Linked DNA regions of Nothobranchius furzeri. The protein of the gene in region 1 interacts with the protein of each later gene in a pairwise test. Links are inferred from orthologs where the notes say so. Each region holds a gene or a part of one and is shown in the gene's direction. Other genes may lie near its edges. The genes, in order: kifc3, sox5, creb5b, zbtb8a, hsbp1b and necab2.

Evidence for each region.
Region 2: the proteins of kifc3 (region 1) and sox5 interact in binary tests that used the Homo sapiens proteins (3 or more experiments, as listed by UniProt). The two-hybrid records come from large-scale screens. The link is inferred for Nothobranchius furzeri from reciprocal best matches to the Homo sapiens genes KIFC3 and SOX5.
Region 3: the proteins of kifc3 (region 1) and creb5b interact in binary tests that used the Homo sapiens proteins (3 or more experiments, as listed by UniProt). The two-hybrid records come from large-scale screens. The link is inferred for Nothobranchius furzeri from reciprocal best matches to the Homo sapiens genes KIFC3 and CREB5.
Region 4: the proteins of kifc3 (region 1) and zbtb8a interact in binary tests that used the Homo sapiens proteins (3 or more experiments, as listed by UniProt). The two-hybrid records come from large-scale screens. The link is inferred for Nothobranchius furzeri from reciprocal best matches to the Homo sapiens genes KIFC3 and ZBTB8A.
Region 5: the proteins of kifc3 (region 1) and hsbp1b interact in binary tests that used the Homo sapiens proteins (3 or more experiments, as listed by UniProt). The two-hybrid records come from large-scale screens. The link is inferred for Nothobranchius furzeri from reciprocal best matches to the Homo sapiens genes KIFC3 and HSBP1.
Region 6: the proteins of kifc3 (region 1) and necab2 interact in binary tests that used the Homo sapiens proteins (3 or more experiments, as listed by UniProt). The two-hybrid records come from large-scale screens. The link is inferred for Nothobranchius furzeri from reciprocal best matches to the Homo sapiens genes KIFC3 and NECAB2.

The regions. Positions count from the first base shown.
Region 1 is NC_091749.1:65,941,237-65,944,848, forward strand, and holds part of kifc3 (kinesin-like protein KIFC3), read left to right. Parts: intron 1-461; coding exon 462-623; intron 624-1,091; coding exon 1,092-1,239; intron 1,240-1,371; coding exon 1,372-1,502; intron 1,503-2,920; coding exon 2,921-3,032; intron 3,033-3,112; coding exon 3,113-3,294; intron 3,295-3,554; coding exon 3,555-3,612. UniProt on the Homo sapiens protein: Minus-end microtubule-dependent motor protein. Involved in apically targeted transport. Required for zonula adherens maintenance.
Region 2 is NC_091741.1:56,411,049-56,415,425, reverse strand, and holds the start of sox5 (transcription factor SOX-5), read left to right. Parts: upstream 1-1,480; 5' UTR 1,481-1,676; coding exon 1,677-1,753; intron 1,754-3,073; coding exon of another isoform or gene 3,074-3,096; intron 3,097-4,377.
Region 3 is NC_091745.1:35,742,099-35,745,710, forward strand, and holds part of creb5b (cyclic AMP-responsive element-binding protein 5), read left to right. Parts: intron 1-516; coding exon 517-594; intron 595-1,305; coding exon 1,306-1,399; intron 1,400-3,612. UniProt on the Homo sapiens protein: Binds to the cAMP response element and activates transcription.
Region 4 is NC_091758.1:35,826,898-35,831,135, reverse strand, and holds the start of zbtb8a (zinc finger and BTB domain-containing protein 8A), read left to right. Parts: upstream 1-1,426; 5' UTR 1,427-1,560; coding exon 1,561-1,712; intron 1,713-4,238. Other genes in the region: gale (UDP-glucose 4-epimerase), read left to right, coding at 1-114, 190-248. UniProt on the Homo sapiens protein: May be involved in transcriptional regulation.
Region 5 is NC_091744.1:87,756,916-87,760,963, reverse strand, and holds hsbp1b (heat shock factor-binding protein 1b), read left to right. Parts: upstream 1-1,425; 5' UTR 1,426-1,519; coding exon 1,520-1,564; intron 1,565-2,315; coding exon 2,316-2,382; intron 2,383-2,513; coding exon 2,514-2,635; 3' UTR 2,636-2,640; intron 2,641-3,085; 3' UTR 3,086-3,521; downstream 3,522-4,048. UniProt on the Homo sapiens protein: Negative regulator of the heat shock response. Negatively affects HSF1 DNA-binding activity. May have a role in the suppression of the activation of the stress response during the aging process.
Region 6 is NC_091744.1:83,414,501-83,418,112, reverse strand, and holds part of necab2 (N-terminal EF-hand calcium-binding protein 2), read left to right. Parts: intron 1-3,336; coding exon 3,337-3,473; intron 3,474-3,612. UniProt on the Homo sapiens protein: May act as a signaling scaffold protein that senses intracellular calcium.

The DNA.
Region 1 (3,612 bases):
CCAGGCATCAGAGACCAGACACCATGGACCTGAGACTAGGGACCAGGCATCAGGGACCAGAGACCATGGACCTGAGACTAGGGACCAGGCATCAGAGACCAGACACCATGGACCTGAGACTAGGAACCAGGCATCAGGGAACTGAGACCAGACACCATTGACCCAAGACTAGGAACCAGGCATCATGGACCCGAAACTAGGGACCAGGCATCAGAGACCAGACACCATGGACCTGAGACTAGGGACCAGGCATCAGAGACCAGACACCATGGACCCGAGACTAGGAACCAGGCATCAGGGACCAGAGACCATGGACCTGATACTAGGGACCAGGCATCGGGAACCAGACATTGTAGACGAGAGACCAGATCTAGTAGACCTGTGTTTTGTTCTGACAAGTCATGCACCCTGACTCATGATTAAATTCAAAGGTGAAGTGACCTTTGAACTCTGTCTCTCAGTATGTGCCCCAGACAGAGGCGGACTCTCAGAAAGTTCGGACAGAGATGCAGATGAAGAACGACGTCCTGCAGGAGCAGCTGTCTGTGCAGAAGCAACTGCTGCAGGAGCTCAAGACCCAGCTGCACGAGTCACAGAGGACCTGCACTCAGCTTCGAACCCAGGTAGGTACAGGTGCTGCAGGGAACCGTTTCTGAGAACAAGACTGGACTCTAGATCACCATGGTAACAGAGACTGGACAACTGTCATAATGTATCCTCAGTGTCTGACCCGACTCGGCCTGCCCAGTTAACTCGATTACAAACCAACGAGACCTGTAGGGCTTACTCGGGTCAGACTCCGTTTAGAATTGAGAACTCTAGGAGATGGCATGTGATCCAAAAACCCCAAATACATTTCTATTAAGAGTGTGATTTATAAAGAAATGACTTTGCTTAGAGTTTCAGCAGAGTTTTAGTACGGATCCTGCACAGAGGTTTTTACAAATGAGGCCTCAGATCTCAACCAGGTCTGTCGGGACCAGGTCTGGACCAGTAGTAATCTCAGCCACACAATAAACTCCTCAAATGAAGATGAAGCTCCTGATGAGGATGAGGTTCTGATACACAAACGCTCTGGCTGTTTACTTCAGATCGTGGTCTACAAGGGCGAGATGGAGCGAGCTCAGAGTCAGCTGGAGGTGGAGATGCAGAACCTGGAGGAGGAGAAGAACCGCGTGATTGAGGAGGCGTTCATCAGAGCAGAGAGCGAGATGAAAGCTGTCCATGAGAACCTGGCAGGTGTGTGTGTGTGCGTGTGTGTGTGCGTGTGTGTGTGTGTGTGTGTGTGTGTGTGTGTGTGTGTGTGTGTGTGTGTGCGTGTGTGTGTGTGTGTGTGTGTGTGTGCTCTCCTGACCATGTTGCTGTCTGCAGGGGTCCGTCTGAACCTTTTGACCCTACAGCCAGCTCTCAGGACTCTGACGGTGGACTACAACAGTCTGAAGAAGCAGGCTCAGGACTTCCCTTCCATGCTGGATAAGGCCATCAGAGACGCCAAACAGGAGGTTTGCTGCTTTGTTCTTCTTATCAATGTAGAAAATGTACAGGAAGTGAGCATAGACGGCAGTAGGGCGGTAAACGGTCATCTAGGGAGTAAATAGAATAGAATCACTTCTGTTCCCTAACTAAAGGGCTGCATGGTGGCGCAGTGGTTAGCATTGTTGCCTCGCAGCACGGAGGTCGCAGGTTCGAAACTCGGCTGCGGCCTTTCTGCCTGGAGTTGCATGTTCTCCCCATGCATGTGTGGGTTTCCTCCGGGTACTCCGGTTTCCCCCACAGATCACAACGTGCCCTATAGGCTATAAATTGTAAGTCGCTTTGGATAAAAGCGTCTGCTAAATAAATAAACATAAACATAAAGTCTAAAGTTGTTCTCGACCATAGAGGTTTAGGTTATATTTCAATAGTTTTCCATTAAAAGTTTGTGTTTCTTGGAGAAGCTCCACGTCTGCCCTTTCCTTTTGCAGTTTTGTTGTGTCTTAGGTGTGTTCTCGCTGTGTCGTAGCTCTAATTCCATGCTGTAGTTCTTTTTTAAAACACAGAGCAGTTTTGTTTACCTGTTTTCCCGCTACGTTTCGTTTGCGGCTGCAAACTTCCTCAGGCTGACGCTGATGGTGGCGTCACTTCCTTCTCCGTTTATATGAAATCCCATGCAAACTCTGCAATAGAACATACGTAGGAGAAACCAGACGCCAACTCAACACACAAACAATAGAACACAGAAAGGAGTGCGAGAAAGAAACAAGTCGAAAACACACAAAACAAGAAGCAGAAAGCACAAAAGAGAAGTCAGCCGTAACAGATCACGGCACAAGAGAAAACCATATAATGGACTGGGACAACACAAGGATCATAAACACGGAACAACAGAAATACAAAAGATGGATAAAAGAAGCAATCGAGATAAGGAGACGTGGATGTGGGACCATGAACAGAGACGATGGGGTCGACACATTGGATCGTGTACGGGACTGCATCATCGGAGAGGGGAGAGCGGGCAGCAGAGGGCGACAACGTCCTCTGCTGCCCGCGGATAAACGGAGAAGGAAGTGACGCCACCATCAGCGTCAGCCTGAGGAAGTTTGCAGCCGCAGACGAAACGTAGCGGGAAAACAGGTAACGAAACTGCTCTGTGTTTTAAAAAAGAACTACAGCGTGGAGTTTTGGAGCGACTTCACTCCTTTTTATAGGATTACTGAGGCCGCGTTACCCTTATGGGATGTAATCGTGTAGCATCAATAAAATAACCGCCCCTTTTTACATGAGTAGTGAGTTTTTCATATTTGATTTTAGCTGAAGCTCACACACACACACACACACACACACACACACACACACACTAGTTTACTCCATCTGCTCACCAGAAGATTCTGGTTCTACTTTTTGACCTAAGGTCAGCTGTAACCACGTGTGTGTTTGTCAGATTTGCCAGGTGATCAGTCAGGTGAGCAGCACCAGCCAGGACCTGCTGCAGAAATATAAACGAGAGATGAACCTGAGAAAGAAGATCCACAACGAGCTGGTCCGGCTCAAAGGTCTGAACCAGACCTCCCCACCTGAGGAAACACCTCCACCTGTAACCTGAACCCTAACGTCCACACCTTTTGTCTCACAGGTAACATCAGAGTGTTTTGTCGGGTTCGGCCCGTCAGTCAGGATGAGCAGGACTCTGCCGACTCCAGAACGGTTCTGAGCTTCGACTCTGACGACAGCGATGTTCTCTACATCTCCAACAAGGGCAAAACGATGACGTTTGAGCTGGACAAGGTCTTCCCACCTCAAGCCACACAGGAGGAGGTGAGCAGGATCTCCTGACTTGTGTCTGGGCCCACCTGCTGAGTCAGGGGACCCATGGGTTCTGATCTGTGCAGGTTTAATGTTCTCTGAGCTGAAGGTACAGGTGAGTCACATGAGTCAGAGGTCATTTGGAAGTTTCCGAACACATTATCTAGGTTTTAGCGATGACTCGGTTGATTGGCTCGATTTAGCTGTTGTCCTTATCACAGCTGGCTTCTATCATCCTCACCTGTTGGTCTTCTCTCTGAATGGTCCATTAGGTGTTCCAGGAAGTCCAGTCGTTGGTCACTTCCTGCATTGACGGATATAACGTCTGTA
Region 2 (4,377 bases), on another chromosome or scaffold:
CTTTCTCCTTCCTGTTGAAAACCCAACGACAGGCGCACAAAGCATGCTGGGAAAGCCTTGTCTGGTGAAGACACACCAGACCCATCCTTGAATTTTGGTAGAAGCGAGGACGCATTTGAGGATGCGTGAATGAGTATCCTTTAAATTCAGACAGTACTCGTCGCTGCGCTGTGACCTCATCGACTTGAAAATGCATTCTCACAAGCATCCTACCCCTGGATTTGGACACAGCTTTACACCCGCTCTCGTGTATTACATGATTATGTGTTACAAAGTCACCAATATGTTTCAACAATTGGCCATCATTTAAGTCATTTTCAACAACATTTTGATGGATAATTCCAGAGATTATTCTTAAAAACGACACATTGTCTCTATCAAATGGAACAATGTAAGGGTTACCGTTTTTTCCGGACTATAAGCTGCTACTTTTTTCCCACGCTTTGAACCACGCGGCTTATAATGAGGTGCGGCTTTAGTCAACCAGAAAGGATGGATGCTGGAAAGTAATAAAGGAATGGTTAAAGGAGTGCTACGGAAAGCGCCCAGGAGGATTTTTTTCACAGTAAAACGGCGCTGCTTGTTTTCCCAGCTTCACCCCGGGATGATGACAGCAACACGGAGAGCGACACTGACATCGCCACAGAAAAGGTATGTGACGAAGCTCTTCTGATGCTGTTCAACTCCAACACAGAAGAAGAAGACTTCAGTGGTTTCAGTGCGCAGGAGGATGATGAATAAACTAATCAATAACTTTTTTGTTTGATACTGATCAGTTCAGTTACGTTCAGTTAAACTACGTTTTCAATTCAGTAGATATCTGCGGCATTTAGCCCGGTGCGGCTTATATTGAGGTGCGCTCTATAGTCCGGAAATTACGGTAATTTTAATTTAGCAACACGTAATGTTTTTTATTTTAATATATCATTATATAAACATATGAAAGAGTAAAAAAAAAAACTTTTTTTTGAGTGACCACATCGCGTGACTGAATTAGGCTCAGGAATGATTCCTGATCATTGCACATAACAGCTTTGACATTTTTATATAAACTAGTTTGGAAATAATGAAAAAGTTGTCTGAATCTTTTATAAAGGAGGAAAATTATTTCTGAAATTAAATAATTCTTTTCATGTTGCATAATGAAGTGTGTGTGCGTGCGTACGTGCATGTGCGTGCGTGCGTGTGTGTGTGGAGAGAGAGAGAGAGAGAGAGAGAGAGAGAGAGAGAGAGAGAGAGAGAGAGAGAGAGAGAGAGAGAGAGGAAAAAAGGAGCGACTTGAGGAAGTGGACAGCACTGATGAACTCTGGTCAAGAAGCCCCTCCTCTTCCCTTGTACACACACTCTCTTACTGAACACAGAGAGAAAGAGAGAGGTGGGGGAGTAGGAGAGGGGAGGAGAGGGGGCTCCGCCGCCGCTGGCCCTTTAAGAGCTGAGCCCGGCTCTCACAGCATACAGTGAGGGAGGGAGAATAGGAGGGACGGAGGCAGAGAGAAAGACAGAGAGGGAGGGTGTAAGCTTGGAAGTGTGTGAGTAAAGAGAGAGAGGGACACACACACGCGCACCAAGAGAGAGAGAAACAGCAGTGTGTGTGAGCGAGAGGTTGAAGGATCACTTCAATCCGGTCTTGTTTTGGGAGACTAACCTTGTTCATCTGAGCATTGTTGGACTGTTTTATGTTGTTGTTGTCGAGAGAGACGGACCCTTACTCCAGCATGCTCACTGAGCCTGAGCTACCTCAGGAGTGTAACAGGTATGTGACGCTTTCCCTCTCTCTCTCACTCACACACACACACACACACACACACACACACACACACACACACACGCGCGCATGCACGCACACACAAACAAACACACACAAAAACAAACATGCAAACACACAGAAAGATGACAGAAGACAAAACAGAAACACAGAAAGGATGAAGAAGTAAAAATGTGTGAAGCAGTCAGGCGAGTTAACTTTGAGTGTGTGTGTGTGTGTGTGTGTGTGTGTGTGTGTGTGTGTGTGTGTGTGTGTGTGTGTGTGTGTGTGTGTGTGTGTGTGTGTGTGTGTGTGTGTGCGCGCAAGTGTGTGCATGCGTGTGTGTGTGTGTGTTTGAGAGAGACAAAAATAGAGTTGATGATTCACTTCAGAGCAGATCAAGTAATATACAGTGTGTGACAGAAACCCTCCCTCCGTCTCTCCTCCTGCTCCTCTCTGTTTGTCCTGACAAAAAGTTGTGTTCATAAAAAGTTGTGTTCATTCAAATCATTACTTCCAAAGAGTGCTGGTGCATGTGTGTATAACAGAGAGATGTGTGCGTGTGATCATCTCTCATCATCTCCTTTTCACGCCATCACTTTATTTACTTCTGCACCCCGTCAGCGTTCAGCTGCAGGAGAAGAAAACTCTAATGAATCTGAACAGACATCTAAAATCAGCTGAATTTGAAATGTTGGGTTCTGTATTTATTTAAAACATTCTTTTCGTTTTAATCCAAATTCAATAAAAGCCCCTGGGTAATCCCTCTCTGGACTTGTTGTTGTTTTCGTGCCTTATGCTAATATTAATCTGACGGTGTTTGTGCAGGCCTGCTTCGTTTAGAGGTGTGAACCCTCTAACCCTGCACTGTCAACACAAGTGGCTTTCAGAATAAAGGCTGTTTGATCCTAACGCAGCGAGAGGCAGATTATGTTCTAATATTGTTTCATTCAAACTCACACATTAAAGTAGCTCTCTGAGTTTGGGCTTTTGCGTCTCACGCCCTTTGTTCTGAGGTAAGCTAACTTCATTGGGGTGATTTAAAAAATGTGTTTTTATTAAACTGCAAAGTGTTTGGGGGGGGGGTGATAACAACAGCTTGGAGGAATTAAAAATTTAAGGGATTACACCAAAAAGCAGAATGTATGGAGATAAATGCAGGGATTACAATGACTTAGGAGGAGAGTGCTTAAAATTCTTGCTTTCCAGTAATGCACTCCATCACTACGGCCGTGTGTGTGTGTGGGGGGGTGTGTGGGGGGGGGGGGGGGGGTCCCTTGGTGGTGCGCGAGTCACCAGAGTGTACTCCAGCCCCAGAGGTTTGCGATGATGCTCTCGGTTCCTGCGCTACTGTAAGTGTCCGCTCGCCTGCTTCACACCACGCTGCCTCCTTCACTTCCTTCTCTTTTACTTTTCTTTTTCTTTTGTTCCTTTTTCTTCTTCTAAAATTAACCACTGACTCGTTTTTTTATTTAAACTAGTTTGTAGAGACGGGTGGTAAAGCATGTTTGAAAAGCTGCTTTTTTATAGTTGAGATAAGACAGAATTTTGGTTTTACAATTATTCATTTTCAACTTTAAAAGTCTTGGGATTTTTTTTTAAATGTCATATTATACGTTGTTTTATTTGCTTCTAATATTCTGTGATTTAAACATTTTGTATTCATACTCCAAACACTCTTTTCCTCACGCTCGGCTTCTCCAAATGCATGTTTGAACTTAAAGGCAAGAAGGGAAATTAGTGAAACCAAACATCGGCTTATTTATTTGCACAAACAGATTAAAAATAAATAAATAACAAAATTGGAGCGAGCCAAAGCAATCAAAATGCAGATGGAACAAAAAATTTAGAGATTTCAGGGAGTTGGAGGATGGAGAGATGAACGGAGAGAAGCAGTGTGGTCAAACTGACACATTCCTCACCAGCAGACAGAAGAAGCAGGTTTACAGACCAGTGAGAGTGCCAGAGATGGGGGGGGGGGGGGGGGGGTCTGTCTGTGTGGTGTAAAGGTGGTGGTGGATTTTCACACCCCTCCATTTGTCCCCTGTGTGTGTGTGTGTGTGTGTGTGTGTGTGTGTGTGTGTGTGTGTGTGTGTGTGTGTGGAGAAAGACAAAAATCAGTCTTTTTAGAGTTGAACTTTAAGTTTTAAAGTTTGTTTGTTGTTTTTCAAACTTTTGATAAAAGTTCTATATTCAACGTTTACTTTAGAAAAATTAACCAAAACATGTTTGCATGTGTAATACTTGATTTAATGCAACAACATCCTGTGCAGCTTCTCTTACTTGATGAAGAACGGCGTGACTCGTGTGCAAACCTTCCTCCTGTTTTCTCGCTGGATTTTATTTTGGAGTCCCGGATTCTGGAGTGAAAGGTTTGCAGCAGCAGAAAACAACTTGTTTCCAGTCTGAGCGCCGCGCTGCGCAGCTCCCGGTGTCAGAGTCGCAGTCCATTTAAAGGGGTGAGATTAAAGTGTGTGTGTTGGGGGGAGAAATACAAAATGTGTGTGTGTGTGTGAATGAGAGGGGAGTAGAGTAATTGAGCAGAATGTCCGTGCTCTGCAAACTAATGCGCCGTTCTGCCCTCTTCTTCCCCTGTGGCCTCACGTCTCGGCCTCCCTCTCCTTCTATTCCTC
Region 3 (3,612 bases), on another chromosome or scaffold:
TTTCTGGTGAACAGGGTTGGGGTCGGGTATGTTTTCTATCTAAGAGGATCTAAGAACCAAGCTAAATGTGTTTAGAGCTGTAAGGACATTTGGATTAAAAGTTGTGTTTATATATTGAAAATGAATTTAACTCTTAACTAACTGTCCACTGCTTACCTTACAGAACGTTCCTCAACACAACTCTAGCAACTAAATCAGCAAAACCTTTAATCATTTCGCTGGTTTGATGCATCAGAAATTTGCATCTTCGCTGGTGATTGTAGATCAGTGCAGAGCAGCGTGTTCATTCTTGAGAAAACATTTATGACTTAATTTAAATTAGCTAAACGAAACAGGATTAGTACTTCTTACTGTATATTTGTTCTTATACAATCTATTGAGAATACATGTTATGCTTTAGCAAAACTTCGTATATTTTATGTAAAAATGCATTTGAAATATACTTTTTCAAGCTTTTTCAAAGTTACTGTTTCAAGGAAACAACAGTTCATATTTTCTTTTTTATGTTTTCTCTAGTTTTATGAGACTCTGGCCAGAGGGATGAACTCAGACCAGGAAAGGCTGTTTGTGTGTAACGCTCCCGGCTGTTCTCAGGTCAGTGTGGGTACAAACCAAAGCCCGAAACCACCAAGCAGCCAGACTTTCTTGTAATATTTGGTAGTGTTCTTGATCAATAGTTCTCCAGGTTTTTGGAAAGATTTTTATAGACTTTGACGGTTATTTTACTAGTTTTCTGTCCAGTTCTTAGGTTTGATCATGACACTAAGGATGGAGGACAAAATAAGTTTAGATCTAAAATAAACTGTCTGCAGCAGATGAACGATCTGAAAGTTGTATTTTTAATAAATGGAGAAAAGAAATCAATCAAAAAGTTGATCCAGGACGTGAGAAATGCACCATCCTGGTCTTGGCCCTGTGTCGCTACCTTTTTTTAATAAATTCAACAGAAAAATTGGAACAAGTGAAGTCTTTGTGACAGACTGATCTAATTTAAAACTGTATTTTTGTCTAGTTGCTTGTTTAGTGTTGATGCAACAGTGGCTCATGCCTTGAGTTTAGCTTCCCACGCTTGAACGATTCACTGTCAGGATCAAGTGGCTTAAACAAGTAACAGAAAAACAGATCAGTTCGTTTTCAGGCACTGGACTGAAAATAGCTGAAACTAACAGCAAAAGTCCAGATTTATTACTAGAAATTCTGATTCTTCCGAAGCTAAAGCAGGGATGTACCTCAAGACTTTTAGACAGTTTCTTCTCGTTAGTGTAAATAATACTCACACACCTCTTCTTCTTCCAAACCGAACAGCGGTTCCCCACGGAAGACCATCTGATGATCCATCGACACAAACATGAGATGACCCTTAAATTCCCCAGCATAAAGAATGACAACATGTTATCAGGTGAGTTATGACAGCATCAACACTGTTAGAGTCCAGCAGCTTTGCTCGCAGATGTGTGCCAAGGTGACGCATGCACACACATTCTTGTCTGTCATTAGACACCTTTATGGCAAGCTGTTTACAGTAATGTAAATCATATGGTGCGTAGCCTTCAGCTCACTTCCAGTCATTGCATACCAACGGTGCAAACTTCAGCGGAGGCAGATGCACTCACATAGCCGATGCAGACGCGCTCACATAGCCGATGCAGACGCGCTCACATAGCCGATGCAGAAGCGCTTACATAGCCGATGCAGACGCGCTCACATAGCCGATGCAGACGCGCTCACATAGCCGATGCAGACTCGCTCACATAGCCGATGCAGACGCGCTCACATAGCCGATGCAGACGCGCTCACGTAGCCGATGCAGACGCGCTCACATAGCCGATGCAGACGCGCTCACATAGCCGATGCAGAAGCACTCACATAGCTGATGCAGACGCGCTCATGTAGCGGATGCAGACGCGCTCACGTAGCCGATGCAGACACACTCACATAGCGGATGCAGACGCACTCACATAGCCGATGCAGACGCGCTCACATAGCGGATGCAGACGCGCTCACATAGCGGATGCAGACGCGCTCACATAGCGGATGCAGACACACTCACATAGCGGATGCAGACACGCTCACATAGCGGATGCAGACACACTCACATAGCGGATGCAGACACGCTCACATAGCGGATGCAGACGCCCTCACATAGCGGATGCAGACGCACTCACATAGCCGATGCAGACGCGCTCACATAGCGGATGCAGACACGCTCACATAGCGGATGCAGACACGCTCACATAGCGGATGCAGACGCGCTCACATAGCCGATGCAGACGCACTCACATAGCGGATGCAGACGCCCTCACGTAGCGGATGCAGACACACTCACATAGCGGATGCAGACACGCTCACATAGCGGATGCAGACGCGCTCACATAGCGGATGCAGACGCGCTCACTTAGCGGATGCAGACGCACTCACGTAGTGGATGCAGACACGCTCACATAGCGGATGCAGACGCGCTCACATAGCGGATGCAGACGCACTCACGTAGTGGATGCAGACACGCTCACGTAGCGGATGCAGACACGCTCACATAGCGGATGCAGACACGCTCACATAGCCGATGCAGACGCGCTCACATAGCGGATGCAGACGCACTCACATAGCGGATGCAGACTCACTCACATAGCGGATGCAGACGCACTGACATAGCCGATGCAGACGCGCTCACGTAGCGGATGCAGACGCGCTCACGTAGCGGATGCAGACGCACTCACGTAGCGGATGCAGACGCGCTCACGTAGCCGATGCAGACGCACTCACATAGCGGATACAGACGCGCTCACGTAGCGGATGCAGACGCGCTCAAGTAGCCGATGCAGACGCGCTCACATAGCGGATGCAGACGCACTCACGTAGCGGATACAGACGCGCTCACGTAGCCGATGCAGACGCGCTCACATAGCGGATACAGACGCGCTCAAGTAGCCGATACAGACGCGCTCACGTAGCCGATGCAGACGCGCTCACATAGCCGATGCAGACGCACTCACATAGCGGATGCAGACGCACTCACATAGCCGATGCAGACGCGCTCACGTAGCCGATGCAGACGCACTCACATAGCGGATGCAGACGCGCTCACGTAGCGGATACAGACGCGCTCACGTAGCGGATGCAGACACACTCACATAGCGGATGCAGACACGCTCACATAGCGGATGCAGACGCGCTCACATAGCGGATGCAGACGCACTCACGTAGTGGATGCAGACACGCTCACGTAGCGGATGCAGACACGCTCACATAGCGGATGCAGACACGCTCACATAGCCGATGCAGACGCGCTCACATAGCGGATGCAGACGCACTCACATAGCGGATGCAGACTCACTCACATAGCGGATGCAGACACACTCACATAGCCGATGCAGACGCGCTCACGTAGCGGATGCAGACGCGCTCACGTAGCGGATGCAGACGCACTCACGTAGCGGATGCAGACGCGCTCACGTAGCCGATGCAGACGCACTCACATAGCGGATACAGACGCGCTCACGTAGCGGATGCAGACGCGCTCAAGTAGCCGATGCAGACGCGCTCACATAGCGGATGCAGACGCACTCACGTAGCGGATACAGACGCGCTCACGTAGCCGATGCAGACGCGCTC
Region 4 (4,238 bases), on another chromosome or scaffold:
TCCCTTACAAGATTGCTCCTCGCAGAGGAGGAGACGTAGCTTCCTGCTATGCTGACCCTCAGCTCGCCGAGAAGGAGTTGGGCTGGAAGGCTCAATTTGACTTGGAAAGAATGTGTAAGCTCCTGATGAACCACACGCTTAATAATGCGGGACGACTCCTAGATAATGGCCTGATTTTGTTTCTCGCAGGTGAGGATCTGTGGCGTTGGCAGTCCATGAATCCCACAGGATTCAACAGCACATCTTGATGCAGCTGATTTGTTTCTAAAATGCTGCAAAAAATTTAAAATGATCACTTTTTCAGCATTTTTTTTCCTATAACCCATAAACTTAATCTCAGGCCTTAATATATATTTGCAATCCATTTTCAGTCTGTTTTTGAAATAAACTGCAGCTGAAGAAAATCTTTTCAATGTTTTTGTGCATTAAAATCACAATAATGAAATAATTAATCATAAGTAATCTAAAATGTTGTTTAATTTGGTTTTTAGGTTGTTGTTTTTTTGTTCGTTTTTTGCAGAAGCCAAACTATAGAGTGTATATAAATGGAGATCTGCAGAAATCCGGTGTTAACCTGAGCTCTGGGAACGCTGTGGTGGGTTTTAAAGGGACACTGGGGCTTTAAGTGGCTCCTTGGACCTTCGGGCACCCTGTGCATAAACACCCACGTCAGCACACACAGCTCCAGTCGCTGTGGCCGGGTTTCGGTCTTTAGGGCTGAGCAGGAAGTGCTGGCTGTGGACCCTGGACGCGCGCAGGGTGGGGGGGAGCCGAGCGAAGCGACAGAAAGCACCAGAAAATGGACATGGTGGCAGATTTAGGGGCGAGTCGACTCTACCGGGCGCCGGGTGAATCCAGTCACCAGTGAGTATCGATGGCTTTTCTTTGTGGGGCGTAAGCGGGTCTTGCCGACACCTCTCGCCTGAGATGGAGCCTCTCGGTGCGGGCAGCAGGCTGATCTCGCTGCTCTCCGGACCTCCGGGGAGAAGTGGGGATAAAAAAAACCGGGTGTGCTGCCGCCTCGTTCGTCTAGGCTGATTAAATCAGCGCTGATGTGTTTATTTCAAAGCTCGCCAGCAGCAGGAGGGTCGTGAGGCTGTTTTCTATTGTGTGCTGGCTGAAGCCTGAAGTGGGCGTCGCTCCAGGACAGACGGGGCTGCTCCGGTGCGGCGCTGCCCGCTTTTCTCTCGAAGGACTGCAGCGCTACCGGACTGTTTTCTAGGTCAAACGACTCCTTCAATCGCCGAATTGATCTCCACTAAGATCCCTTCTGGTTTTAAATGCTATTTAATAATAACCGTGGTGCTTCCGGCGGGTGTACCGTGGGTTATTATCGGGCGACGCGGAGCCTGATTCAGATATTTCATATCTAAGCTGCAGAACGGGGAAAGAAAACGAGGCTGCAATATAGCTCGGTGCTGAATAATTTTATTCTTTAAGGAGTCCGGCTGCTGTATTTAATTTCATTTTCTCATCCGGCCAGTCGTGACTAGTTGGACGGCTGGATTTCCCAGCGCGCTTTGAACTCAGCACAGGATTGATTAAAGTGTTTGTCACCCGATGCTCTTCGAGTCGGGCGTTGCACATGAAAAAGATGTTCTGACTGAAGGATTGCTCAGCCAATCACAAATCAGGAAGAAGTTGGGTGGGCGATCAGAACTGGAGGTGTTCCAGTTTAGAGAGACGGTTGTGTCACCCTCAGCTATGCTTAGGTAAGTCCATAGGGTCAGCTGAGTTTGGGAGCGGTTGCTGACTCATCAACACTTGGATCAGTGTGTGAACCACCTTTGTTGTTCGTTTGTTTTAAGGAAACTACATCTCAGAGTGTGTATCTGTTTTCCTCTGCTTGTCCGAGGCCAGCTTTTCTGGGGAAATCCTAAGGTGTTCCCAGGACAGACGGGAAATAAAGTATATTGTGTCCTAGGTCTTTCCTGGTTGAACATATCGTCCAAGAGGCATCCAAACCAGATTCCCACGTTACTTCAATTTGCTCCTCTTGATGTGGAGGAGCAGTGGATCTACCTCAAGCCCCTCCCAGATGACCGAGCTTCCCACCCTGTCTCTAAGTGAGAGCTCAGACGCCCTGCAGATGGAAAACATCAACCCCATTGAACTCTGACTGGCACAATGCCATCCCACAGCAGTGTGTGCCCAAGCTGGTGACCATGTTGTGGCTGTGTCTCCTCCACATGAAACTGAGGCCCCTGTTTGATTTGTTTCCTTATGCTTCAGTCATCAAATCCAAACCACACCAACAAGAGTCGGGAGATTTTGGATGAAACCCACAATCTTAACTCTGTTCAACTTATAAATCTGCTAATGTGGCACCAGGATAAAGATAAAACTGATTTTCCAGCAGTATAATGGTGAAACTTGAAAAATTAGAATATGATGCAAAGTCTATTTCAGTAATCCATCTTAGACTGAGAGACCATCTAAAGGAGAAGAAAATATCATTTCTATAGCGCCTCTCAAGATAGAAATCACGAGGTGCTTCACAAAAACAAAAAATGTAAAAATATAAAGAATTAAGAAAATGTTTAAAATATGTTTAAAATGAGCAAAAAATAGACAAATGTGATTAAAAAATGTAAAGAAAGAGAGAGAGTGAATAGGAAAGAGGGAAATCAGTGGATCCTGAGGAAGGTGGAATAGGTGGGGAGAGCAGAATAAAGAGAGAGTGGTGAAGAAGGTCATCCAAAAGCCAGCTTGAACAAGTGAGTCTTCAGCTGCTTTTTAAAGGAGACCACTGAGTCCACTGATCTCAGGCTCAGGGGGAGAGGTCCAGAGTCTGGGGGCCACAGCAGCATATGTTCTGTCACCTTTGACCTTTAGCCTGGTGCTGCACAACCAGTAGGCTTTGATCACTGGACCTCAGGGACCTGCTGGGGGTGTTTGGACTAAGAAGATCACCAATGTAAGATGGTGCTTGTCCATGTAAGGCTCTATAGACCAGAACCGGGATCTTGAAATGAACCCTGAAGATGACTGGCAGCCAGTGAAGCTGGAGGAGAAGCGGGGTGATGTGGGTGTGTTTGGAGGACCTAGTCAGAAGCCGAGCACAGGCATTCTGAACCACCTGTAGACGGTTCAGGGAGGTTCTGCTCAGACACGTGAAAAGAGAGTTACAGTAGTCTAAGCGTGAGGAGATGAAGGTGTGGAGAACTTTCTCAAGTTCAGAGCGGGACAGAATGGGACTCAGCTTAGCAATGTTCCGGAGATGGAAGAAGGAAGAGCGAACAAGAGAACTGACATGAGAATCCAGGGTGAGAGCTGGGTCAAAGGTCACGCCAAGATTCCTGACAGAAGGTTTGGTGTGGGAAGCAAGCTGACCAAGAGAGTCTCTGACTTTAGGAACCAGCTTGTCTGGGGCACAGATGAGGATCTCAGTCTTATCTTCATTCAGCTGTAGAAAGCTCCCAGCCATCCAGGCTTTGATAGAGTCTAAGCAGGTGTGTAACAGCTGCAGCTTAGACATCTCATGGGGCTTAAAGGAGATGTACAGTTGGATGTCATCTGCATAAAGATGGTAGGAGATTCCTTTGAAGGAGCTCAGGATGTGCTGAAGAGGAAGCAGATAGAGGAGGAAGAGCAGAGGCCCCAGCACAGAACCTTGTGGGACACCATGGGTAAGAGAGGTGGTGGAGGACCTAAACTTGGAGACGGCCACAGAAAAGGAGCGCTCAGAAAGATAAGAGGAGAACCACTCCAGAACAGTTCCTGATTGGCCTACCCAGTCTCTCAGCCTCTCCAGTAGCAGGTGATGGTCAACAGTGTCAAAGGCTGCAGTCAGGTCCAACAGGACCAGAACAGAACAGAACAGTCCCCTGCATCACTGTGAGTCAGAAGGTCATTAGAGACCCTAAGAAGAGCTGTTTCAGTAGAATGAGCTCTACGGAAACCTGACTGGAAGCTATCATAGATGTTCTGTTCATCAAGAGCAGCTGTGAGTTGTTTAGCCACTGTCACATTCTGCTCCTGCCTCCCTGACTGTGTCTCTCCCCTGCCGTTTATTAGTCCCTACTGGTTTCACCTGCCCAGGTGTTCCTGATTTGCCCCTGTGTATTTATACCTCCCTTCTTGTATCAGTCTTGGTCAGATCATTGTTTGTTGTCAGCGTTGTTTTTGTTCTGTCGTTCCCGCTCTGCCATTAAAACTACTTTTATTTCATCCGTGCCTGCATTCCTGCCTCCTGATCTGCTCCACCACACGTGGTCTGCCGTCATCCACACCCTCAA
Region 5 (4,048 bases), on another chromosome or scaffold:
AATACCACAGTTAGCAGATAGTGTCTTAATGCAGCCAGGCCAGCGTTTCCTCCTAACGGGCTTCTGACTGATATACAAGCATTAGCTTTTACCATCCAGGCCCACTACATACACCGACTTAAGCAGGTTCATACAGGAACATAAAACACCTCCAGTAACATGCTGCAGTGTCCACTATGACCCACACATTCAGAGCGAACAGCTAGCTGAGTGTGTGGAGTTTAGAGAGGTGCCGGTGTTGTTTGTTCCATCTGTTGAGAAACCAACTCATCAAAGCTAGGAGGTACAGCCCATGAACTCACCACTGTGCTGTTTCACTGATGTTCCAGTCAGCTAGTGGACTAATTACACAGCAGCAGCTGTAGAGATGCTTTTGCCATCAGAGCACAAACAACAAGCTCTCTGTTCATATTATAAGAAAACTTTAAACATCATTTTGGTGTGCAGTGCAGAAAATGTGATGAACACATGATTAGCCAACAAATGCTGGAGCTGATGGAGCAAACCCATCCTTTAATAATATCTATTAAACACCTGGTTCATCTGCAAGTTTATAAATGCAAACGTTTTATTTATTTATTTTTTAATTCAACATGTTTTCAGCACGTGAAATAGTCTCTCATGGTTGGACGTTTAAACTCACACACACCAGATGCTGAGTGGCACACAGGAGAACAAGTTCAGGTTATGTAAGCAAATAGTTTCATGGGGCAGGGCCAACTTTAACAACACCCGCAACATCAACATAGGGCTACTGGGTTGGAGTTACTGCGCGCACACAAATATATATATATATAAACATGGAATGTGTGCTCTTTTATGCTGAATTCATAATTAAATCCAAAAAGTATTAATAAATAACAACACGTCCCTACTAAACTGGTAGTTTGCAAAGCGCTACTTGATACCCGCGGATCTGATTCGCTCTCTGGAATTATGATGTCGCGACATTCCTAAACATCCTCTGCTGCTGCTTTACTTACCAGGCGCCTTCATTCACGTCCCGTCAGTGTGAAACAAACTTATTTATGTACAAGGCTCCACTCTCACGCAGTCTGGGCGTGAAAACACACGGAAACTCTTGGCAGCTCCAAGTTTCAAATCCAAACTTGCTGAAAACGGAGGAAGACGTGCGCGCTCGGCCGTGCGCATGCACGCGCTCGCGCGGACATGAACATGTTTTCTTATGAAAGGCTACAACCTACAGTATGTAAGTATGTACAGTCTATGGCTACAACCGATTCATGTAATGGACAATTAGAGCCTACACTCATAAAGAAGCGCGTCTCTTGGCAAGCTGAGCATGAACTACACAAGTACCGTGCATGTTTTCCCATCAGAACTCCATCTTCCACACGGCCCAGCACCACTCAACTCTCGCGAGACTTGTCTTTGTTGTGGGAACAGCTGACTGCAGAAGATTCTACCGAGTGTTAGTCTGTTCTGAGCGGTCCAATAGTAAAACGGTGATTTATAGCTGATTTATTGTATTGTGAAGGCACGGATTAACATTCACAACATGGCTGAGACGGATCCCAAGACGGTGCAGGACCTTACAAATGTGGTGAGTCGTGACCGTGATGCAAGCTAGTGCTACTAGCTACTGCTAGCTTGCATTGCTAGTAAGATTGCTCAAGTGTATTTGGGTATTCACATAATCACGCTTACTTGTGTAAATATTCCAGTTTAACACGTCTGTTGATCAAATGTTGCATTAGCTAAACTGTCCTGACATTTAGCTTAATCAGTCACAACAAACCGCTTTAGCATTCGTTACTGTAGGATGCATTATTACATCAGTAAGATTTATTGAACAATTAAGACATGTTTTCAATTGTTCTCTTTCAAATGTGATATTAAACAGCACATTTGCGCGTTACGTAATCATTTAGTGTCTCACAAAGACATCTTGGCCAATGTTTCAGTGTTTCCATGGAGATGAGCATTCGTGAGAGGCGTTTAAGAGCTGAATGACCCCTCACAGCTAGCTGCCTTTTGAGATGACCAGAGTCCTAACTGCGAATGTGTGGGTGTTTTCTCTGTCCACCACACATCCTCTAAGAATGAATTAAAAGCAGATCTCCATGGTTACCAATCTTTTCCTCCGTTGGCATGGGGACACAGCTGATGGATTTTCGCCTCTTTTAGATATCGTTCATAGATCACAGGCTTTGTTTTCAATTCCCAGATACCGGTAATTAAAATGTCACGACTGTTTCACATCCTAAGAAACTAATCAACTATACATTTGACTATTTTGATGTGTATTATATCAGCGTCATCATTTCTTGATTAACACCTTGTTTCTTCTACAGGTTCAGACACTGCTGCAGCAGATGCAGGACAAGTTTCAGACCATGTCAGACCAGATAATTGGAAGGAATATCCTAACAATTTTAATGAACAGAGCATTGTCATTCAAATCTACTAAATACTTTTCCTTTTAATCACATACTAACGGATTTCACCCAGGAAAGTGTTAGTTTTCTGGTTTTCCTTAACCAAATCTCTACTTGATGAGATGAGCACGCGTATTGATGACCTAGAGAAGAACATCGCTGACCTGATGACTCAGGCCGGCGTTGAAGAGATTGAGGCAACGCCGGAAAAGGCTAAAGAGGGTCAGGGATCGTAATGAAGGTAAAAAGTGAAATGGTATACCAAGGCTGGAGGGCCACCGTCCAGCATGTTTTAGTGGTTTCCTTCTTCGACAGACTTAATAGTTGTATTACCCGTTTATGTTGTGGCAAGGTGGAGAAACATGGACCTGGGCGGGATTCGATCCGCAGACTCCCGGGTGAGAGTCACATGTGCTAACCAGTCAGCCAAAGGGACATCCCCATGGCCAAGTAGCCAGGGACAGGATGTTCACCCTGTCACAATGCCATCAAAGTCTGTAGAAGCTTGTTATTCATCCACTGATCAAATGCAGGCGTGTGAAAGCTGAGAAACCTTTAAAGTTTGCAGGATGGTGGCCCTTGAGGACCAGGATTGGGGAGCACTGCTTTAGGACGTCATATTTGAATTTCTAGTTAGTACATTTTAAATTGCACGCCAGTTATGAATGCTTTTTTCTGTCTTACAGGTTTCTTAACCACGCGGTGTGAAGTCGGTCCAGTGTGTCTGGAGGCAGCAGGCTTCACTAAAACTTACTTATGACTTATGTTAGATGTTTTTATATACTGAATATTGTGAGATGGTTACGGTAATGTTAAAGCTAAAGGTTGAGCATCATTTGCAAGGTAGAATAGTTTGATATGTCTTTCTGATCTTCAGGTGGAAGAAAGCAGTTTCTAGAGGTTCTTTAGCTGCCAGCGTTTAATGTGTCAGTCCCCGTATGTGATGGTGCAGCTGGATCCATGTCGGTAAAGCTCGTCTGAGGAGCAAACCCCACTGGCTGCCAGGCCGCAGCATGGATACGACATACTGAACGGGCTGCCGTGTTTGACCACCAGCCCTGTTGCTCCAGATGTGCTAAATGCATTCCACGTCTGATCTATTAAAGCTATCTCTATACTGCAGTTTGCAATCCATTTCAGTGGTTTGATTAGTTTCTGAATAACTAAAGTTAACGCTAGGGTGCTTGTTTTATACGTTATAAGCCAGAACTGTGCTGTACATTATTCACAGTACTATGCAAAAGTCTTGAGCCACCTATTTAAGTATGTAGGCCTTTACATTTCTTCTTAATCTTTGTATGCAAACTTCAGATTTGATGGTTTAGGCTTGAAAAAGCAGTTACACCTGATCACCCAGGGTTGCCCACTTTTTGCCACATTTTACCTCCATCCCATTTGCTTTTTTACTCTATTTTGAGGACATCCGGCACCTAAAACTGAGATTTTCTATTTTCATTAGTGAATGAATTAATGTTAGGATAATTATTCTGCAACGCGTCTAATATTGTAAGAGTCCAGCTTCATAAAAGGACTGTCTGGCTTAAGACTTATGCACAATACTCCATCTGGAATATGTGAATGTTGCATGCTCCAACTTCTTCATGCATTAAATAACATTTTGTTGTTGGGAGAAACTGGTCGTTTAGATG
Region 6 (3,612 bases), on another chromosome or scaffold:
AACCAGGTTGGATGTGAAAATGTTCTTTAATCCCCATTTCCTGTATTAGCCTCTGAAAGAAGCCGCTCAAATCTACGTCACATTGTAAAATTTACATTTATGGAGTCAGCCATCTTTGCTCATGACCGGGTAAGGCTGCTAGCAGAGAGTCCATCTCTGCTAGCAGAAGCTAATTGTTAGCATTAGCAACCCCACCACACAGCAGAACTCCTTTAGGCTGGTGTTAATCAATGTTGAATTTTTTTACTCTAGAAAAAAGGACGAATGCAGCGTCCCTGGTATCCTGGCAGGCCATGTGAGTTTATAGTCTGGCCACGACCCATAAACCGACTCAGCCAAGGGGCGGGATCTACAGTCGTCTTTCAAACGGTCTCCACGTGCTATTGGACAACAAACAGCGTGAAGTACTCACCGCTACAGGTGTCAGTCAATGGAGCAGTCCGTCATACGCTGTACAAGAAGACTCAAATACATCTTTTATATTTTTACTTTTTTATAAAGGACCTCCGTACCTCTATCTGCTCTGGGCCCAACTAAATAATCCAAAGTTGATGCCAAAGCCATCTCAAATGAGCTGTCGCCATCAGTTGTTTTGCTCAATCGCATGATCCCGCCCACCAAACCGATAAAGCGCTGTGATTGGCCCACTAAACTACCGAGGCTCCTGTGGAGCCGGGCTAGACCGAAGAGCAGAATCGTGGTGTGGTCTGTCCAGATATTTGCTCTACGTTCCAGGAGGATCTGGCAGGACTTGTCATTTCTAACCCAGGAAATAGTTGTTCCCTAACCCTAACCATGATTTATTTCTAACCCTACCAATGCAGAGGACACTGTATTAGCTAAGAAACAAATTCTTGAGTCTAGATGATAAAATGTGTAATTTTTTCTCATCATGCAGCCCTAAATTAAAAGCTCTAATCCAGAATTAAAGCCCTTCTGATATTGTTTCATAATCTACCTAGAGCTTCTGAAGTGAACATGAGCTGGGCACAAACTGGGATGGACTTCCTCATGAAAGAGTTGCTAGATATTTAAAATCCAGGAGGCGTGAAGAATTCTGCATTGACGAATCGCTAGAATAATAAAACCTAGCGCTGACTGATGGTGTCCACGCCACGGTGGACTCTGAAGATGGATTTCTGCTAAAACAGGTTTTCAAATAGTTCTAAAGCAGTTTTTCTAAGCAAGAGTTGACTCTGCTTAGCCTGATTACCTTGGACGCTTCTTCATTCGCAGCTTTCTTTTTTCTAATTTAGCTAATGCTGTTTTGAAAGGACCCCCAGCGTCACCACAGTCTAATGCACACGGCTGGTAAAAGTTTCCGGATGTGACGAGGCCTGCTGTGCTCTGTTCTGATTGGATGCTGACTGAGCAGAGGAGGGGTTTCCCTCGTTTATTGCGGTAGATGCGTTCCAGACCTGGCCGCGATAGGTGAAAATCCGCCATGTAGGGACACCATATTTAAAGTATTTATTTAACAGGTATGTATTCAGTATTCAGACTTTTAAAACCCTCCCTTTACATAGTACTGTATTTTTACTTGGTTTTTTTATAGTTTTATTACAAATAGTGCATTTTATGATGAAATGATGGAAAAAAACTGGAATGTCTTGATATTTCGCATAGAAAAATACCGCGAATCAGCGAATTTCCCTTGAATAAGGCTCCAAAGAAAAAATCCGCGAAGTCGTGAATCCGCGATAAACGAACCGTGAAGTAGCGAGGGATCACTGTATTCATAAATAATTAAGAAGTTGCAGAGAGGTCATCAGAGTTGATGCTCGGGCTTCTTTGATGTCTATTTTGAAAATTTAATGGGACTTTACGGACTTTTGAATTTTTATGCTCGCGATTGCCCCCTCAGGCCAAAAGTGTAATGGCAGCTTCAATAGTAGGCTCGTGTGCGAGGCGCGCATGCTGTACGTGCACACTCCTTAACGAAAATAACAGCTGAGACAGTCCCGTGTGTGGGTGTGTGGGGTGGGGGGTGGGGGTGGGTGTTGCCCGGAGGACAGAGGACAGGAGAACGCACAGCTAATTAATTAAATAATGTGGTTCTGTACCTTTCTCTTCAGCACAGCCGACAAAGGTTTAAGATGGGTCAGTCCTCCTGCATGCTCAGATCATTCCCTTCCCTTGCTTGAAAAATTGTTCCAAAATGAAAGTTGAACCCACATCTTTTTTATCTGTGAATTCAATGCCGTTCAGCGAGTCTCAAATAAAAATTTGGGCGTCTTACTGTAAAAAAATATACCATTAATGTAAAAAATAAACTCTAAATAAACTATGTTCACATCCAGAATCAAACCCAGGTCTTCCGCACGAGAGTTCAACGTCTTACTTGGTGAGCTAAAGCTCCAGTGATGTCTTTTGTATCTGTAACATTTATATCCTTGATGACAGCTGAAACAACGACAAACCAAAGAACGGTTCGGAGTGAAAATGGCTATTTTGTTGCTAATTTGCAGGAAATATCTAGAAGAAAGTTCTACAGAAAGTAGCTAAGGATCCTCAGAAATGTAGCTAGCTTTGTCACTAGGCGTTAGGAACAGCGACAAAGTGGCACTGCCTCTCTCTCTGCTGCTAAAGCTACGGATAGCAAATGCTACGGGCGATGCCTGAGCGTGAACGCGCATGAAGCAGCCTGCTCGACCCGAGCATCTCTCTTTTTCTGTGATTTTACAGAAAAACAGGCAATCACAGTAAAAATGCCAGGGCTCATTCTACAGGACCAGGGCATTGCAGGAGAATGTATGAAGAAGACATTTATTATTTCTATACATGTTTTAGCTGTCACACTTCCATAATGTCCCTTTAAACACTCACTTGTCTCTAAACCTTCTAAATAGTTATTTTAAGGTTCCTCAGAACCACGTTTAACCGTCTCCATGAAATGCAGATCTACGACGCTCCTTTTTGTTCATGTGAGCCGCTCTTGTTCTCTTGTTAGGGGTGTGAGTGATGCTGACAGCAGACGACCGCATCGATTCTTGGCCTGTTTCCCACAAAGCTGTTGCGTTGAATTGGAGGAGGTTGCTAACGTATCAGCCTTGCCTCGTGGTAATCCTTAATAAAAACTGAAAGAATACAGAGGATCCTTTCTGCCGACTGAAGCGCGTCTCCACAGGCGGCGACTTAACTCGACGCCAAAAGGTTTTTTAAGGCTCAACAAGCAGAAACTCATGGAGAAGTCGTCCATCCAAATTTCAATGAAAGCAAAGTGAATCATTGCAGCACAAAGGTTACAGTAAAGCCCTGTGGTTAAATGAATCACTCTGTTGCTCTGAAGACACTTTTTCTTATTTTTAAATGTTGAAAAATTTCCTTTTTTTCCAGGTTTATGAAAGGGGAACCAACGTGGAGCAGTTTGTGACGCGTTTTCTTCTGAAGGAATCTGCCAATCAGATCCAGTCCCTGCTGAGCTCCGTGGAAAGTGCTGTGGACGCGATCGACGAGCAACACGGCCAGTTGGGGTGAGCCGGCGAGGCTATCGCTAGCTGCCACGTGTGAGATGGGGAAGTGTGTGTGTGCGTGTGTGTGTGTGTGTTTGCATCACTTTCGTAGCATAATGTGTAAAACTCTGATTGTCAGCGGCTGTAATGGAAACCAGGC